Linked DNA regions of Yarrowia lipolytica. The protein of the gene in region 2 interacts with the protein of the main gene of each other region in a pairwise test. Links are inferred from orthologs where the notes say so. Each region holds a gene or a part of one and is shown on either strand. Other genes may lie near its edges.

Region 1 (3,842 bases), on a different chromosome or scaffold from region 2:
CTTCTTCCCCTTAACATAATGAGTCGTGTCTTCTGAAAAGTATCGTTGCATCCTAATATCAGACCCCTTGATAATCTCATTTAATAGTGTCTCCTCCTCATCTTCATGGTACGAAAACGATAGCGGTCGCCATTTCAATGTGAAATATGAGTCCTCCTTTCGCCCCACTTGAACCCTGTAAGTCGTGCTTCTGTGTATCGAGAATCGCTCCTCAGATTTCAGCTGCAGTCCGTTGACATACACACCTGTGTCGATTCGAGGCTTCTTGATGCTGACAATTTCACATTTCGAGTCGTCCTTGTCAATGATAAGCTGAACATGATTCCGGCTGATGGATTTTCCATCCATGTTGAGAACGTGACTCTTATCACGGCCTATGATGAATTCCGAAGGGAATAGATGGTCTGATGGTTAGAATTGAGTGATGGGAAGCTGCCAGATAGACTTAGCCGACACGTAGAGCCTTGTGTGACACCCTCTTCTCCATTAATACTCACAAGTCGCTTCACCATGGCTCCAAACCCACATTGTGGAGAACCAGTGTTTTGCAGTACTGTACTCATACTATACTTGTATACACTAGGTTTCGGGGTTTGTGCATGGTGGAATCTAAACCAGTGCAGTGAGTTGACTCGTCAACGAAGACGCAGAAAACATACAACTCCTCAAAAGATATCGCCACTTCTATGGATACAGAAAGCTATACATGTCGCAAGACTCCAGTGTTGCTGAACTATTTAATGACTTCTATGTCGAGCTACCCCTTGACCTCGGCGTGATCTCGCCTACAACTCGTCTCCATAGACGGACAGATCTAATAGAATCGGTATAAATATAGATTTACAAACACATGATTTTTAAGGGCTGCCGTTTCCCCGTGTATTGCCTTCACCCTATCGTCTTCGTCCAGGACTCCTGCTCCGATTCTCAGATCCACGAATTCGATGTTGTGAAATGGAGGTGTCTGCTTCATGGAAGGCGAACGACACCTCCAGGTTGTGCTCCAGAAACTCAACTCCGTTAGTCTCTGCAATAGCTGTATCGGCATCGTCCTTGGTGGCAAACTGGAGGAGAGCATACCCTTTGGCGTAACCAGTTCTTCGATCCAGGTTGACGTGGGCTACCTGGACATCTCCGTATGTGCTGTAGAAGTCTGTGAGATCCTCCTCACTAATTTCTGGATGTAGGTTGTCGACAATGATGATCCATCCCTCCGTGGCTGAGTTAGTCAATGGTCAATGCTGTGGCTATGATGTTGTCTCGATCTGTGTGTACTCACATCGTAGAGGTGTGGGTTCGTCTGAGTTAGTAATGAATGACGCTGTTGTGTTGAAGCGATTGGTATTCCGATCAATGTCTCTGTTCGTACTCACTTTCTGTAATACCCATTGTGTCGTGATGCCGTTGTGTTGGAAATGATGATTTCAAGTCGTCCAGTGTGGTTGCATGAAACTTTCAGGAAGTCACTATGAAACGACACACTTAAAGATCATCAATGACCATATGAGGCTGGTAAATAAAAAATGGCCGTTGCTGGTCGTTATATATCATGACATAAAAGGCTTGCACACAGTTTCAATCTCAACGATTACCCCCATCAATTATGCTTACTAAGCCGATTGTTTTAAAAAGTTAAACTTTAGACCAGCATAATCGTTGGAAAAAAATTGAAACTTGTAACCAGAAAAGCAGATCTTCGATTACCAACACTGATAAAATGTCTTTCACCGATCTAGGCTTGCCAGAGTGGCTAAATGAGTCTCTCTCAAACATGGCTATCACCAAGCCTTCCGCTATTCAGAAAGCCTGTATCCCCCAGATCATGAAGGGAAAGGACTGCATTGGAGGAGCTCGAACTGGTAGTGGTAAGACTATCGCATTTGCTGCTCCCATGCTGGCTGAATGGTCCAAGGATCCCTGTGGTATTTTTGGTCTAGTTCTGACCCCTACTCGAGAACTAGCCATCCAGATAGCGGAGCAGTTTACAGCTCTTGGAGCCAACATGAACATTCGAGTCGCGCTCATCTACGGTGGAGTTGATATGGTCAAGCAGAGTCTGGAACTTCAAAAGATGCCCCATTTCGTCATTGCCACACCTGGTCGTCTGGCTGATCATATTCGAAGCAGTGGTGAGGATACCATCCGAGGATTCCGACGGGTTAGATATGTAGTTATGGATGAGGCTGATCGACTGCTGACTCCTGGCTTCGTTCCTGACCTTAAAACTTGCATGGACCTTCTCCCCGATCCTTCAAAGCGTCAGACTTTGTTGTTCACAGCCACTGTTACCGACGCTGTTAGAGCTCTGAAGGACAGAACCGGTGAGAAGGGACCGCCATTCATCCACGAGATTGCATCAGACATTGCCGTGCCTAGCACTCTTACCCAGTCATATCTATTCCTACCTGGTTACGTACGAGAAGCCTACCTGTGGGCTATCCTCACTCATCCAGATAACGAGAAGAAGTCTGCCATCATCTTCGTCAACCGAACTCAGACTGCAGAGACCCTGAGACGAATGCTCATGGCTCTGGACGTTAAGACTGCCTCTCTTCATTCTGAGATGCGACAGCAGGAGCGAGTCAACGCTCTAGGACGATTCCGAGCCCAAGCAGCCCGAGTTCTTGTGGCCACTGATGTTGCTTCTCGAGGTCTTGATATCCCTACTGTGGAGATGGTCATCAACTTTGACCTTCCAGCAGATGCTGACGATTACATTCATAGAGTCGGTCGAACTGCCCGTGCAGGACGAAAGGGCCAGTCTGTCTCTCTTGTCACTGAACGAGATGTAACTCGTGTGACGAACATCGAAGAGAGAGTGGGTACCAAGATGGAGAAGTACGATCTGATCGAAGACGACAAGGTCGTTGAGGAGTATCTCACCCCTGCATCCACTGCCAAGAGACAGGCCGTTCTGGACATGGAGGCCGAGAACTTTGGTGAGCGAAAGCGAATCCAGAGAAAGAAGGCAGGACTGGACGTTGACATGAAGTCCAAGAACAAAAAGCCCAAGCGTGTAGCCAAGGGCAAATCTGACAAGAAATAAAGGATCCATCTAAAAAAAAGTGCATTTATTACAATATATTAGAATCTAATGGCGATGCGGACATCCTCAACTACTTGTCGTTACAAATATGAGTAGTAGGTAGGTAATAAGTAGCTACTGTATGATACGGTACATATACTTGTACACTTACGAGTGTGAGAGAAAGCAATAAATAATCAATTTTATGGAGTGCCATTGGGTCGGAATGAGTTTAGATATGCTGTGTGGAGTGCACTGTATATAGAATTATGAATACAGGTCCCCTACTTCTTACCTTCATATAATCCCTGGTAGTACCCTGCCCAATACCAAGCCATGACTAGACTTCGAACACTCTCGTCCAGATGATCCAAAGAAGGTCCAGTGGGTGCCGATGCCGATCCGGATCCTGGGTTCGCCATTGAGGTTTCGTCGTTAGAAATGTTGGATATCTCAGCAGCTTCTAACAACTTGTTAGCTGTGTCGGCTGTGTCGTTCATATCCGCATCATCATCCTCTTCTGGCATTTCCTTCTGCTCCTTGTCGGTTCTCATCTCATTGATCACTGCACCTTCCGTCGTGCTCTTCTTATGGTACTTGAGATATTCCTCGTATGCCTTATCCCAGGTCGCCACGAGTTGGCTGTCGTCCCATTGTTGGTTCATCTTGATCGTTGTGTTGATGAGAATTCATGCATTCGCATATTCATTTTGGTCACCTAAAAAATTAACATTCATCTAACTGCAGATGAGATGTACAACAACATATCTGCATCTTCATGAACTGCACGACATCGATATTTACTGATCAACGGCTG
Region 2 (3,355 bases):
GAGAGCTATCAAATCATGTCAAAAAAAGTAGCGTCATTCTCCACCATTGTTCCTTTGATGGTTCTTGCGTGGTGATGGAGCCTTCAGAGGCTCGACAATTGATCGTGTGCGGCTTCTTCAAAAAGATTTAACATTCTGACCTCGTTAGTATAGGTCCTCAAAAAGTGGTAAGCATGAATATATATACTGATTTTTTTGTATCTATTGTACTTGCACTGATTATATAATGCCACAATTTGGATTTTCTCATCCTCTGACTATTATTGAGAGAGATAGGGAGTGTATTGTGCCACCCTCAATACTTATGGGATCCAAGTAAATTCTGAATTTTAGTTGGGATATTACTGCAGATTCGACGGTACAGAAAACAACCATATCATTATATATGTATACAAATATCTACTACCTATTCAGCTGGGCGTAGATGTTGGCAATAGGTGTCCCTCAGTATCCAGTGTCATGCAGCGTACTCGGACTCATATGAGGGATATGATCGAGTGTTGGTAGAAGGAAGGGTCTCATTACCAAAACGAAAAGGCGAGTGTGACACATAATCTTGCCCAATATCCGTGCTCCCCTTTCATGTGTTTCCCATTCGACATTTGAATAAGTTCTATTACATGACACTGCCCAAAATGCTTCCCACGCTTCCATCCAACTCCTTCTTGCCCTCCTTTGCTCTCGCACTGTGGGTCTTGCCCTGGTAAAAGTCTCGATGCACCTTCTTTGCCGGCTTTTCCTCCGTCTCGCCGCCCTCTTCCTCCTGTCTCTGTCGTCGTCGCTCGGCAGCCTTGGACTTCTCCAGCGACTGGATATAGGTCTGGTTCTCTCGGGTGGCCTGGGAGATTTCGGTTCGCAGACGGGCCTGTCGGTTGTGAGTCTCCTGGGCCAGCTGCTCAGAAAGATCGCTCCACTTGAACTTGGGAAGGTATTTGGCGTTCATGATATCGTCGTAATGCTGCGAGCCCTTCTTTCCTCCAATCGTGTTGCCGTTGAGCGTGCTGGCACACGTCTTGGCGTACCGCTTCTTAGTGAACTCAGCCCAGCCCTCAGTGTATGCCAGAGCTCTGTTTCCACCATGTCTGATTCGTACCGCCTGCGCTTTGGGGTCCTCGGGAACCAGGTAGATTCTGTCGACGATTCCGAACCGCTGGAGCAGCATTCGCAGCTTGCCGGGGTCCATGAGCGGCGGAATTCGCGAGAAGTAGACGACACCGGTCTTGGCGATCTTCTTGTTGTGTTTCTCAATCTCCTCCTTGGTCATAGGCTTGGTCTTGGCCTTGGTAGAACTAGTCTTGACGGGCTTCTTCTCTTTCTCCTCCTCCTCCTCCTCTTCATCTTCTTCGTCCTCTTCCTCATCGTCGCCGTCGTCAGTCTTTCCAGCTAGCTCAAAAAAGTCTTTGGTCTTCTTCTTGGAGGTTCGGCCCTTCTCTTCTTCATCCTCGTCTCCATCCTCCTGTTCCTCTTCTCCCTCGCTATCAGAGTCGGCCAGCACAAACCGCGGGTCGACCGCCGGCTTGTCCTCCTCCTCCTCGCTGTCGCTGGAGTTGTTTTTCGTGCTGAAAAAATCCACGGCTTTTGCTCGAGCCATTTGAAAGAGTCGTATACTTGTAGCTGATAGTTGTTCTGGTCGCTGCACGAAAATATATTTCCCACCTGCATTTACTTCCAATCAAGGAACTCAACCCTAACCCCATCTTACCTCATCTAACATCGGATATGAGAGTATCGTAATAGTCATATGCAGATTCTGTGGGGTAACCAGAGTCATATAGAGACGCTATCACCACCCAGAAACCACCGAGCATGAGCCTCCGACTACTGACACGTGTCGTGGTGACACAGAAACAACACTGCGTGTCCTTCCACACTCTACAGCCACAGTCATACACCACCACCAAGGGGCCCTATGAAGATGTGGAGGAGCCCAAGAAACGGCGGAAGCGGACGGTCAAGAGCGACACGGAGCCCAAGAACACTGACCCGACACTCGCCGAGGCACGTAAACAGCGCACCGTGCCCACAGCGGCTCTCAATGAAGAAACACAGTCGACGGGGCCTCCTGGAGGAGAGCCTCCTCGACGTGCGGTGGCGCCGGATATGACGCCCCGGAAGCTGCTGGCCAAGCTCAACCAGTTCATAGTGGGCCAGGACCGGTCCAAGAAGGTGTTTGCGGTGGCGATCTATAACCACTACCTCCGAAGCGGCCTCCTGATTGACGAACGACAATGGAGCGACTACATGAAACGCATCAACGCCGCCAAGGGCAAAATCTCGGACCGCTGGGAAAACACCGACGAACCACAGTCGACAGACTACATCAACGTGCTCAAGGAGGAGTACGATGAGGAGACAGAAAGTCAGGTGATTCCGGACAAGGCCAACTTGCTGGTGGTAGGTCCTTCTGGATCAGGCAAGACAATGATGGCAAAGACTCTGGCAAGTTTTTTGTCGTTGCCAATTTCCATTTCAGACTGCACTGCGCTCACCCAAGCCGGATACGTGGGGGACGACGTTCAATCGTGTGTTCAGCAGCTGTACCAGGTCTGTGGAGGCGATGTAGAGAGGTGTGAGCATGGTATCATCGTTCTGGACGAGATCGATAAACTGGCCAAACGGGAAGGATCTGGAAGAGATGTCTCTGGCGAAGGAGTACAGCAATCGCTGTTGAAAATGCTGGAAGGCACTCTTGTACAGATTTCTGGAACCCCAGGAAGAGCCCAAACCACCGCTGGTCTTCCGGGAGGAGGTTCGGCCATGCCCAAGGAGAGCGTCACAATCAACACGCAGAACATTCTGTTTATTCTCATGGGTGCCTTTGTTGGTTTGAGTGACGTGGTGTCAGCTAGATGCAATACTTCTTCCGATATCGGCTTTGGTGCCCATGTCAGGCAGACTGGTGAGGATGAGGGCAAGCAAAAGGACAGTCAGGACAAGCTGGTGACTCTTGCTAACGGCGAAACCGCCAATGCTCTGGATTTGATCACTTCTGAAGACTTGAAAAAGTATGGTCTCATTCCCGAGTTGCTTGGACGGGCTCCAACGATTGTCAAATTGAATCATCTGACCGAGGAGGATCTATTGCGAATTCTGATTGAGCCCAAGAACGCTCTTGTGGAGCAGTTCCGAGTCAAGTTCAAGTCATTTGGCACCCGTATTGTCTTCACCAAGCCTGCTTTACGCATCATCGCTAAGACTGCGCTTTCCGAAGGTCTGGGAGCTCGGGGTCTGCATGCTGTCATGGAGAAGATTTGTCTCAATGCCAATTATGAGTGTCCTGGAACTAGCACTAAGTACGTGCTGGTCGACTCGTCGGTGCTCAGGGACTTTTCCATGACCAACAATACCAGAGACG

The links.
Region 1: the proteins of YALI1_B05520g (region 2) and YALI1_E03163g interact in binary tests that used the Saccharomyces cerevisiae proteins (3 or more experiments, as listed by UniProt). The link is inferred for Yarrowia lipolytica from reciprocal best matches to the Saccharomyces cerevisiae genes ESF2 and DBP8.

Annotation. Positions count from the first base shown.
Region 1 is NC_090774.1:314,676-318,517, forward strand, and holds YALI1_E03163g (uncharacterized protein), read left to right. Parts: upstream 1-1,717; coding exon 1,718-3,046; downstream 3,047-3,842. Other genes in the region: YALI1_E03150g (uncharacterized protein), read right to left, coding at 1-404, 498-528; YALI1_E03158g (uncharacterized protein), read right to left, coding at 894-1,219, 1,280-1,300, 1,374-1,389; YALI1_E03183g (uncharacterized protein), read right to left, coding at 3,310-3,690. UniProt on the Saccharomyces cerevisiae protein: ATP-binding RNA helicase involved in 40S ribosomal subunit biogenesis and is required for the normal formation of 18S rRNAs through pre-rRNA processing at A0, A1 and A2 sites. Required for vegetative growth.
Region 2 is NC_090771.1:550,439-553,793, forward strand, and holds YALI1_B05520g (uncharacterized protein), read right to left. Parts: upstream 1,592-3,355; coding exon 617-1,591; downstream 1-616. Other genes in the region: YALI1_B05522g (uncharacterized protein), read left to right, coding at 1,807-3,355. UniProt on the Saccharomyces cerevisiae protein: Involved in the small subunit (SSU) processome assembly and function, and in the 18S rRNA synthesis. Required for the early cleavages at sites A0, A1 and A2. Stimulates DBP8 RNA helicase ATPase activity.